Ovis aries: one gene and its partners. The protein of the gene in region 2 purifies or fractionates together with the protein of the main gene of each other region. This does not show direct contact. Links are inferred from orthologs where the notes say so. Each region holds a gene or a part of one and is shown on either strand. Other genes may lie near its edges.

Region 1 (3,090 bases), on a different chromosome or scaffold from region 2:
AAGCATGTTTTCGAGGCACCTGAGGACTGTCATTTGCCACAGACCAGAGCTCACGCGTGAACTGTTTTTAATCACAGACCGGAGCGCACGTGTGTGAACTGTTTTTATCACAGACCGGAGCTCCCGCGTGTGAAGTGTCTTCACTCTCCAGAGACTGGAGCTCACGTGTGTGAATTATCAGAGACCAGAGTTCACGCGTGTGAATTATTTTCACTCATCGCAGACCGGAGCTCACGTGTGTGAATTGTTTTTATCGCAGACTGGAGCTCACGCGTGTGAAGTGTCTACACTCTCCAGAGACTGGAGCGCCTGTGTGTGAACTGTCTTCGCGCTCCGCAGGCCGGAGCTCACCTTGGAACCGAGGGTGCTAACATCCTCTGTAGGCTTGCTCCCTGCAGGCTTCGTGCCTGCACGCCAGGCTCCGTGCACACACTGAGCTCCATGCTCACACTCTAGGCTCCCGGGCAGAGTCCAGCCTCTGCCCTGTGCCTTCACTCACTAGTCTGCTGGTGACCGTTTCATCAACTGGCTTATTACAAGCCAGATTAAAGTGGAATAAAAACAGTAAATTCTCTTTGAAGAACTGGACTTTGTTTTTACATAGATCATTTATTAAGTTAGAAGGCTGAAAGGTACAAACATATCTTACAATCAAAGAGGAATCTGGACCCTGGACCCCAACAGAATGATCTGAAACGCAAAGCTCCAAGGACCATTTCTGCAAACACCCAGCAGGGCTCCTGAAACGGGAGTGGGGTGGGGAGCCTGCTGTACACGCCTCTCCTCTCCGACACCAAGCAACAACCACCTGTGAGGCACCCCAGTCCTGGGCCCGGCAGCCACAGGCGCCGTGCTTAGTGCCCCCCGAGGGGCGGCCTGGACACGAGCACGGACGTGAGCAGAGCAGCAGGGACAGCAGGGCCACCGGACATCTCGAGGCCCTACTGATGCGCCCTCCTCTGACCCAGTGCAGCAGCAGGCGTCCGCGACAAAGGACCCCGAGCTGGCAGGTCTCAGCCACCCTGAAGCCAAGTCTCCTGTCCTCGGAGGCCCAGGCAGGGGGAGGCGGCGGCGGGGAGGCAGCGTGGGGCCGCCCGGGCTGGGGTCAGCCATCAGAGTTGCGCTGTGTGGTCACCGTGCTGCAGCCAGCGTGCGGCTGTTTAGCCGCTGGTCTCACGCATCTACCGAGCGCCTGCGGCAAAGGCACCGGTGGTCTGAACCCCCCTCGCAAGCCTCCCTGCCACCGGGCCGCCACGGGAGGGGTCTGGTTGGCTTGACCGCTGGCCAGCTTCACGCTAAGCCTACGTCAGGGACAGGACTGGGGTCTGTCTGAGTCCTCACCGCCTCGGGGTGGGGTCTGTCTCCATGTCCAGAGGCCGGGCAAGGCCTCCAGGCAGAGCGGCAACCGTGGCTGGCCGCACCGTGTTCTCATTTCCATGGGGCTCCACCCAGCTGGCCCCATCCTCAGTGTCCACGGCCAGAGGCGGCAGGGTGCCGCCCACACCGCAGGTTGCCTCTTGCCTCTCGGGAAGACCTCCCAGTGCCGGCGGTCACCACGCTGACCCAGCCTGCGGCCCAGCTTCCTACACAAGGTCGGCGGTGAGCTGAGAGTTCAGAGGCCTCTGACAGACGGGGACGAGGGCTGGGTCTGCTCCCGACACCCACCTCAGCGAGCTCTACAGTCAGCGCGCGTCTGGGGGCGGCGACCCCTCGGGACAACACGGCATGGAGGGCGAGGCAGCAGGAAAGACTACGGGGCCGCGGGCTCAGGACGTGGCTGCAGACGCCAGGCTGGGCCCCGAGGCAAGGTCCACCCGACCCCAGCGAGGCGCCCAGGGAGACCGCCACGGGGAGGAGCGGAGCTTCTTGTCCTGAAGCCCTAACACGACCCACAGCAGCTGTTAGTGTGTCTACCCAGGCAGGCGGCATCATGAGAGACCACCTGTCAACCCAGAAGGGGCCCAGCACCGAGGCCCTGCGGGGGAGCTGCTCCCAGGAGAGGCTCCCGGGAGGACGGCCAGCAGGAAGTGGGCGTGTGCACGGGACGCGCCGCCTCCACCCTTCAGGAAGCGAGAGGAGAGCCACCCCCCCCCGCCCCGACCACGTGGAGAACGGCTCCAAGAACCAAAACCACATGCATCCCAACGAGGGCGAGGACGGCAACACGGACGTCCAAGGAAGGGGCTACGCGGGGCATGTTCACGGGGATCTGCTGGGGACAGTGCTCGGGAGAGCTGGGCGGGCGGGCAGGCGGCGAGACGGCGGGCATGTCTAGGACTCCTCGCCCATCTGGAGCAGGGAGTTGATGGCTGCGTCCCTGCTGCCCCGCTGGGCCTCCAGCACGGAGCGGATCACCTCCCGGTCCATGTTGGGGAACATGTCCTGGATGGCCTTCAGGTCCTCCTCACGGCAGCGGGGCTGGGCGCTCACGGCTGGGGGCAGCGCCACAGGCACCACGCCGGGGCTGCACACGGCGGGCATCCCTGCAAGCAGAGGCAAGCTCAGTGGGCAGCCCCTCTGCTGCGGAGCCCAGGTCTCACCTGAGGTCTCCCCCACAACACGACCCCAGAGATCTCCCCCCACCTCCAACATGACCCCAGAGGTCTCCCCTCACCCCAACATGACCCCAGAGATCTCCCCCTCACCCCATGACCCCAGAGGTCTCCCCCCACCCCCGACATGACCCCAGAGGTCTCCCCCTCACCCCAACACTGCCCCAGAGATCTCCCCCTACCCCCGACATGACCCCAGAGGTCTCCCCCCACCCCCGACATGACCCAGAGGTCTCCCCCTCACCCCAACATCACCCCAGAGATCTCGGCCCCGGACACTGCCTCTCAGATAGGCCAGACGCTCAGGAAAAATGGGGGTGAGCAGACCTCAGCCATTTACACCACGGGGGTCAAGCCCTCGCACCACGGCCACCCCCAGCTGCCACCCCCCCAACCCCGAGCACCGAGACTCCCCCGCCGGCCCCTCTGCCGGCCCTCCAGGACAGGCCTTCCCAGCTGGGCACCCAGTCCCAGTCAGACCCCGTCGAGGAAGGAGACCCCACCGGGCCCAGCGTCCTGAGGACGGCAGACCCCCCCC
Region 2 (4,387 bases):
CCTCTTGCGGAGTGGCTGCAGCTTCTGGGAAGAGGCTGCCACAGAGGTGCGTCTCAGGCTGACCTGGTTTCTGCAAACCACTCTTGAAGTCTCTGGATGGACAGCCTGCGGGCGGGGAGGGTGGCAGCCCTCAGGGGTCAGGATCAAGTGGATAAGGGGGTGGCTAGCAAAGACCTGCCTTTCAAGTTGGCGTCCAGCTGGAAAAAACAGAAGAGGACGGCGCCCTGGCTGCTTGGCGGGAGGCGGGGAGGGGTGTCGGGGAAGCAGATGAGTGCTGAGGCTGAAGGACGTGCCAGGGGACTCCAGGCCAGCTTCCAGCTACCTGAGTATCTGCTGGATGGAGCTACAAGTGCAAACCCATAAGGGTGGGAGCCCTGGCACATTCTCGGAACCCCAAGGAGTTGTGGCTGGGTTAAGGCTGCTGCCAAGTGCCAAGAGCGAGACAGGTGGGCAGGAAAGCGCCACACGGTGACAACGTCAGAAGCCGTGCTGAAAAGCTGCAATCCCTCAGAGGGCTTCAGGAACCCCGGAAAGGTCTTAAGCAGAAAAATTGATGTGAAGTGCTTTGTGTCTAAGTAAGACCCCTGAGCTGAGAGGAGGCAGGGAAGCATGTTCGTTTAGGTTCATCTAGGTCAGAGCCCCGTGGGGAAGAGAGGAACTCCAGAGAAGTTCAGAGAGGTAACAGTTTCCTGGTGGCTGCTACTGTGGCTGCTACTGCTACTGCGAATGATGGAGGCATGCCGGAGGCCTGTGGGGAGACGCCAGATAGGCCAAGTATGGCGCTCAGTGAGCTTCAGAGAAAAGGGTGGGAGCTGCCAGAGCCCGCCATCCTCAAGCGTGACAAGAGGGTGGAGGGCAGCCGGAGTGAAGGTCTGTCTCTAAGAGAGTAGTAAACACGTTTTCTGTGCTAGCGGAAGGAGCCAGCGAAGAAGAAAAGAGGGCAGCTGCTGCAAAGACCTAACCACCGCTGGAGCAGGTTCCGGGAGGGCCAAGAAAAGATGGGATCCAGGGCCCAGGGGGTGGGTGGAGATGCTGCGAGCTTCCAGATCGTTCTTCCTGCCCCCAGCCTCACAAGCCAGCTGCAGAGAGTCAGCCGGGAGCCCTGGTGTGACCCACATCTGACCCTGGATGTCTTGACCCCTCTCCACCGCTTTCCCCACGAAACAGAAACCTAAAGAGGACCAGCCAGCGGCTCTCCGAAGCCCCGCTTCTAGCCCTTTCTGGAAGGCCTTCGCTGTGTCCATCGTCCCTGGGGCCGAGAAGCGCTCTCCTGCAGCCCTCGGAGCCCTCCTCCTCCGGGAAGCTCACCCGTCCGCCTCGCCGGGCCCCGGGGCGAGGCCTCCGGGAGGCGTGACCGCGCGCGGCGCCCCCGTGTGGCCGGGGCTGGCGGCGGTGGCGGCAGCCCCGGGTGCCGCCCCTTCCGGCCCGCCGGGCGTCGCACGAGGCCGCCTTAAAGGGGAAGTGAGTCAGTGTTCGCGGACCCGGCCGGCCGAGGCCCGCGCCCGCCGCGGCCCGGAGAGGCCCCGGCCCGGCGGCGGCGGCGGCGGCGGCCATGGCCGGGGGGCCGGGCCCAGGAGACCCCGCGGTCCCCGGCGCCCAGCACTTCTTGTACGAGGTGCCGCCCTGGGTCATGTGCCGCTTCTACAAAGTGATGGACGCCCTGGAGCCCGCCGACTGGTGCCAGTTCGGTGGGTGGCCGCAGGCCGGCAGGGCGGGCCGGGGCGGGCCGGGGAGCCGCGCGGGACCCGGACGCCGCGACCTGACGCCCCCCTGCCCCGCAGCCGCCCTGATCGTCCGCGACCAGACCGAGCTGCGGCTGTGCGAGCGCTCCGGGCAGCGCACAGCCAGCGTCCTGTGGCCGTGGATCAACCGCAACGCCCGCGTGGCCGATCTCGTGCGCATCCTCACGCACCTGCAGCTGCTGCGGGCGCGGGACATCATCACTGCTTGTGAGCGCGGCCCCGGAAACCCCCGGAACCCCCAGGACCCTGGGACAGGGGCCGCCCAGGGCTTGCCTCGGAGCTCCTCCCTCCAGCCTGGGCCTAACGTCCTTCCCTCCCCGGCCTCCCAGGGCACCCTCCCGCCCCGCTTCTGCCCGCCAGCACCACCTCCCCGACACCCAGCAGCATCTCCACACCCTCTGAGGCTGCGGTTCCCGGCCACCGGAAGTTGCCGTCTCTGGCCTCCACCTTCCTCTCCCCAGGTAAGAAAACCCGGGTTGGCCTGATGAACCTCAGGAAAGGACCCCCTTGCTCCTGGCCACCCCGATAGATCCTGCCACTGGCCTCTGCCTGCCTTTCACTGGTGTCTTTGCGAAGCTTTTCCAGGCTCCCAGACTCACTCTGACCCCGAGCTCTGCCCTGGACCAAACCCAGCTGCCCACCAGCCACCATTGCCATCTCCAGCCCCCTCATCTACCAAGGTAGGTGGGTCCTGCCCCCCACCCAGAGGTTTGATGCCAGCAAGCAGTGACAGCTGCCTTTGGTCCCCTGGGCCACCCCAGGCAGCCCTGCAAGGGTGGGCTGAGGCAGAGGGGAGGATATGGGACCTCACCTGATACAGGGTCTCTTCCCACAGCCCAGCCCGGAGAGCCCCATGCCCCTCCTGCCGGCGGCCCCCTCCTCTTCGTTCTGCTGGCCCCTCCATGAGATTTGCCAGGGCACCCACGACTTCTCAGAGGAGCTCAAGATCGGGGAGGGCGGCTTTGGCTGTGTGTACCGGGCAGTGATGAGGAACACCGTCTATGCTGTGAAGAGGCTCAAGGAGGTGTGTGGAGCATCCTCGCCAGGGCCCTCAAGGGCTGTTCCCAGACTCGGGCTTTTGTGGTCCTCCCCCACCCCCTTCGCAACCCCACAGGGTTCCTTCAGCCCTGTGATTTCACAGTCCAGGGCCCCCAGGCCCGTGCTCCTTCTGGGCCCAGAACAGGTGGCGGGGGGTGGGGGGCATGAAGTCCGGGCCACAGGAGTCTCACACTGCCAGTCCCCCCTGCCTCATTCTCCCCGAGGGCTGCAGGAGGCTGACCTGGAGTGGACCACAGTGAAGCAGAGCTTCCAGACCGAAGTGCAGCAGCTGTCGCGGTGAGCCTGCAGGCAGGGGCAGGGCCCCACCAGGACCACATGTCCGGGGACCTGGCTCCCCATTGGTCTGCAGCCTGCCAGGCCCAGGCGAGCTGGGAAACCTGGTTAGGGACCATCGGCACCCTACACCACCCCCCAACAATGGCCAGATGGAAGGCGTGCTGGATGCTGGGAGCAGAGCACTGAGACTCCACTGTTTCAAATAGGTTTCGTCACCCCAACATTGTGGACTTTGCCGGCTACTGTGCTCAGAGTGGCTTCTACTGCCTTGTCTATGGCTTCCTGCCCAATGGCTCCCTGGAAGACCGCCTCCACGTCCAGGTAAGCCTTGCCTGGCCTGGCCTGGCACACTGTGTCACTCTTGGCACCTGGTCCAAGCGGGACATGGGGCTGGGGTCCTTGGCCTCAGTGATCGGGACCTCTTCATGCTTGGAAGCCAAGCTCATGGGGCCTCTGAAAGGGGCCCCATCTGCTCCCCTGGGCAAACAGAGTAGCGGAAGGATCTTGGCGGCATTGCCCAGAGGGCAAGAGGCAATGGACAGCCCCTGGGCCCCATCTAGAGAGGCGCCCGCAGGACACAAGGGCTGACCAAGCCCAAGACAGGAGCATCTCTGACCTGACACTTCAGCGCTCAGGGGAAGCATAGATGGGCATCAAAGACGGTGGCTCCACGGTCTCCCCTTTCTTCCTTGTGCCCCTCCAGACACAGGCCTGGCCCCCTCTCTCCTGGCCTCAGCGACTGGACATCCTTCTGGGCACAGCCCGGGCAATTCAGTTCTTACATCAAGATAGCCCCAGCCTCATCCATGGAGATGTCAAGAGGTGAGGCGGGGACACGGCCAGTCCCTGGGGGCCTTTGAGGGTGGCAAGAGCCCTATGGCAAGGGGTGATGCTCCCACACCTCCCGCCAGCAGGGACCGGGGGTGCCTGCTGCCTGGTCCCTAGGAGCCTGGCCCTGAGTGATCCCCCTGAGAACAGGGGACGTCAGGGCTGGGGTCTGAGGGTCACTGAGCACCCAGTGTGGGCCAGGGGTGGACATGGAGGCCAAGGATGGGTTCCACTGGTGAACAGGGCCTCAACTGCAGGATGGGGCTCTGGGGGCCACTTGCTCGGAGCCCCAAGTGGCCAGAACACCATGAGCACGGGCCACAATCCGCCACTGAGGTGCACGTCAGTGGCTCCGGTCTGATTGTCTCAGGACCAGGCAGGGGGCAGTAGGTACAGGGGTGATGAGTCGCAGAGAGGGCTAAGGCCAGGCTGACGCCACCGCCTTCCGTCCCCAAGTTCCAACGTCCTTCTGGATGAGAGAC
Region 3 (3,642 bases), on a different chromosome or scaffold from region 2:
AGCCTGTCCTGAGCCCCCTTTCTGCCTAGAGCACCCCCTTTCCTGTAGGGATTCCCAGCAGGCCACCAAGGCAGAGCCCTTAGCCCCTCCAGTGAAGCCTGTCTCACTTCTCACTTTTCCAGCCACCCGTGAGACCTGCTTCGAAACTCCTGATGACTCTGATCCTAGCACACAGGAAGCAATGCTGTCGTTCAGTAATTGGTCTGTCGTTCAGTTACTGGGGAGGGAACCAGGCAGGGAGCCAGGTCTGTGTCCCCAGATAACACTTGGCAAGGAGTCCAGTCCCCAGTGGGTATCCGCAGATGTCGGTCCCAGCCTGCCGCCCACCCGGCACTCACTCGGGGGCTGGAGGCACTGCACGCATGCGGGACACGCAGATTCGTGAAGGCAGCTGAGCAGCAGGTTTATAGGGGAACCCAGGGCAGCAGCGGTGGGGTGATTATCTAGAACTGGGTTGGCAGGCTCAGGGCACAGCCAGCCTAAGCTGGGGGTCAGGGACCCATGGTCCCTTCATTCCCCCAGGGGCACAGTGTAGGCGGCATGATGGGGGATGCCCCTAGAAGGGCTGGGGCAATAGGGCTGGGCCTCCCTCCAAAGCCCAGGACAGAGCTGGTGCTGAGAGCCTCATCATTCTGTCCGGGGTGGGGGTCCAGGGACCCCCTCTGGAGCCCAAGTTAGGAGGGGAAGGGCACCGCCCACCCAACGCGTCCATCTGGCGTGGCGATGAGCCAGCAGGTAGTCTCACATGCAGAGCTCCCTGGAGGTGGGGGACCCAGGCGGGCAGGCAGGCGCGGCAGCAAGGGGCCCCGGGAAGCCTAGTCCAGCGGCCCCTGGAAAATGAGGCGGACGCAGCCATGCTCGCCGGTGAGCCAGGCCCCACAAAAGGGGCAGGCAGCGTGGAACGCGTGGGTGCCATGGGGCAGTGGCGTCTGAGCCCAGTAGCGGGCAGTCTTCTCAGAGCAGACGTGGCCGCAGGGTGCAAAGGCGTAGCTGGGTGGCCCAGGGTCCAGGCAGAGGCCGGCCTCCTGGCCAAGCCACAGGGGCACGTAGGGCCCCACGAGGCGGCAGAGGGGACACTCGCGCTCCTGGGGGCCCCGCTCTCGCCGGCAGCCCCAGCCGTGGTAGCCGTGGACATGGCCGCAGCGGACATACACCCAGGGCTGCTGCTTGTCGGGCGCTGTGCGACCGCGCGCCGGGCTGGGGAAGGCCAGGGTACTGAGGCCCACCGGACACTGGGGCCGAGCCGCGTTCGCCTCCTGCCGCTGGGCCTCCAGCTGCTTCAGCGTGGGCGCCCGCAGCAGCCCTGCCGGCGTGCGCCACAGCAGCGTGGCCCCGCACAGGTCGATGAGGGAGCCGTCCTGCAACACGTTGGACTCGTTTTCCACCTGCAGGGGCAGCAGAGGGGGCCCTTTGTGCCCAAGGGGCTCCTGAACCCCCAGCCATCCGGCCGCCATCACCCCAGTCACGCCACCCATCCATTCCCCTGAACCTCCCTGGAGGGAGCACCCTGGACCCCCGTGGGGCTAGCTGGGGCAGAGAGGGTAGGCTGGGGCAGAGGAGGGGAATGGCTGGGGCAGAGGACCAGAGGAGGCTAAGAAGCCCCATGGGCCAGCAGGAAAAGTGGTCCTGGGGAAGCACCATCCCCCAAAAGCCAAAACCCCCAAAACTAGCAGGGACTTTCAGTGGTTAGGGCTCTGCACTTCCACTGCTGCGGGCATAGGTTCAATCCCTGATTCTTCTAAGTCTTCTAAGATTTGATCTTATCTTGCAAGCCAGGCAGCAAGGCCAGAAAAAAATAATCCCAGGCAGGCACCATGCCTTACTCTCATTGGAACCTGCGCCTTGGTCATTTCATCTGTCAAATCAGAAAGCCTGGACTCTGGACTGGGTCTTCCCTCGTGGGCCAGTAGTTAAGACTCTGTGCTTCCCCTGAAGGGTGTTCGAGCCCTAATCGGGGAACCAAGATCCCACATGCCACATACTGGCCAAAAACAAGGCCTGGACCAAAATGGAAGTTTTCTAAAACATTTTCTCAAGCTCATCTTCCCTGATGGCAGAGGCCAGAATCTCCTGTGTCCAAAACACCAGGGACTTAGCCCAAAGCCTAAGGGCTGAGGTTAAAAGCAAGGACTCTAGCGCTAGATAGTCTGGGCATGAATTCTGGCCTCAGTGTTTACTAACTCTGTGTCTCTGCTCAAGGAACTTATCCCCTCCGTGTCTTAATTTCCTTGTCCTCAAGATAGGTTTTACTTCCCTGTGTAGCAAGTGGGTCTCATGAATCAGTGCGAGAACTTGGAACAGTGCCTGGGACCTAGTAGGTGCTCAGTAGCAGGTACCAGTGAGAGGCTCACAAACCTAATTTTACAAAATAACGTTTCCCCAGATCTCCCAGTGGAACTGAGGCCCTGGGAAGATAAGCCATGCTTTTCCTCGAGGCTCGGCATCTCCTTGCCCCATGTGCTCACACCTACGAAAACGTCTATGTGGCCCCTTTGAGGATCGTGGCCATGTGACGTTGGGCAAGCCCCATCTCTCTCTAGGACTCTCCCAGCTCCCAACATTAGGTTCCCCATCACCTGTGTTAGCACTACTCTAAGGCCCTTTCCTTCTAGGAAAGAATAAAGCTAAACTTGCCTGAACGTGACAGACATGTTAAAAACCACCAACACTTGAGGCTATAAACTGCTCACTAACAGGCCAAGTGTCACTCTCATAAGAGACTGTGAGTTTCAGCTGCTGACATCCTCAGAAGCGTGTGGAGCTATACCAGGTTCTGTGTGTGCTACTTCACATCACCCCGTGGGCCTCTGGCAGTATGTGGGCCACATCTGGAGATGCTGGTCTGGTCCCCTCTGTGGGGCAAACGGCGTGTGCCCCCACATGGAGCCTGTTGGGGGCTGCCCCGTGCAGCAGGACTGGAGATCACCTCCTGGCATGGGCAGGGGGCAGGGCAGATCGGGAGGGCCCCGGGAAGGACAAGGGGATGGGGAGGAGGGTGGACAGGCCACCTACCAGCTTCCCCCGCTGCTGTGCCGAGCGGCTGTCCCTCAGAGTATACACATTCCCACAGACCGAGATCTCCCGCCAGACACCCGGGGCTGAGTCCTCAGAGAAGCCGCCTGCTGGGTGCATCACCAGGACCCCGTTGGTGGTTAAGCCGTCCATCAGCCCGTCGGGGGTCCGCCATTTGGCTGCCCGCTCCTGGGACCACACGTGGGATCAGATCACATCCCTGAGTGGCCCCCAGCAGGCCTCGAGCCAGGAGTGCTGCCCCTCTACCCTGGAGCCCAGAGGTGGCCCAGAGAGGACTGGAATTGGCACTGTATGACCTTGGGCATCACTTGACCTCTCTGAGCCTCACTTTGCTCATCTGCTAAGTGGGGGTGCTGATCCCCGCATAGGGTGTGGTTATGATTACTGCAGGCTGGTCCATCACCCCTGGAGACTGCCCCTCCCCAGCCTACCCCGGGGCTCACTCTCAGATGCAGCACTGGTCCCTGCCTGGGAGTGCTCACTCACTCCAAGGAAGATGTTGCTGGAGGCATCGAAGCCAGCGGCGTAGATGCGGGCAGTATAGGGTGGCCGGCGGTCACAGAGGATGCGGCAGGCGTAGCGGGAGATGGTGCTCTGCGCAGAGGGGCC

The links.
Region 1: the proteins of IRAK1 (region 2) and TOLLIP purify together in Homo sapiens (affinity purification with western blotting; 11 studies listed by BioGRID and IntAct, with this or other methods). This does not show direct contact. The link is inferred for Ovis aries from reciprocal best matches to the Homo sapiens genes IRAK1 and TOLLIP.
Region 3: the proteins of IRAK1 (region 2) and PELI3 purify together in Homo sapiens (affinity purification with western blotting; 7 studies listed by BioGRID and IntAct, with this or other methods). This does not show direct contact. The link is inferred for Ovis aries from reciprocal best matches to the Homo sapiens genes IRAK1 and PELI3.

What each region holds. Positions count from the first base shown.
Region 1 is NC_056074.1:46,576,301-46,579,390, reverse strand, and holds the end of TOLLIP (toll-interacting protein), read right to left. Parts: intron 2,484-3,090; coding exon 2,272-2,483; 3' UTR 590-2,271; downstream 1-589. UniProt on the Homo sapiens protein: Component of the signaling pathway of IL-1 and Toll-like receptors. Inhibits cell activation by microbial products. Recruits IRAK1 to the IL-1 receptor complex. Inhibits IRAK1 phosphorylation and kinase activity.
Region 2 is NC_056080.1:80,278,627-80,283,013, forward strand, and holds the start of IRAK1 (interleukin-1 receptor-associated kinase 1), read left to right. Parts: upstream 1-1,468; 5' UTR 1,469-1,552; coding exon 1,553-1,949; intron 1,950-2,071; coding exon 2,072-2,203; intron 2,204-2,318; coding exon 2,319-2,422; intron 2,423-2,577; coding exon 2,578-2,766; intron 2,767-3,012; coding exon 3,013-3,077; intron 3,078-3,283; coding exon 3,284-3,398; intron 3,399-3,780; coding exon 3,781-3,899; intron 3,900-4,361; coding exon 4,362-4,387.
Region 3 is NC_056074.1:40,941,659-40,945,300, reverse strand, and holds part of PELI3 (E3 ubiquitin-protein ligase pellino homolog 3), read right to left. Parts: coding exon 3,520-3,642; intron 3,202-3,519; coding exon 3,013-3,201; intron 1,386-3,012; coding exon 816-1,385; 3' UTR 1-815. UniProt on the Homo sapiens protein: E3 ubiquitin ligase catalyzing the covalent attachment of ubiquitin moieties onto substrate proteins. Involved in the TLR and IL-1 signaling pathways via interaction with the complex containing IRAK kinases and TRAF6.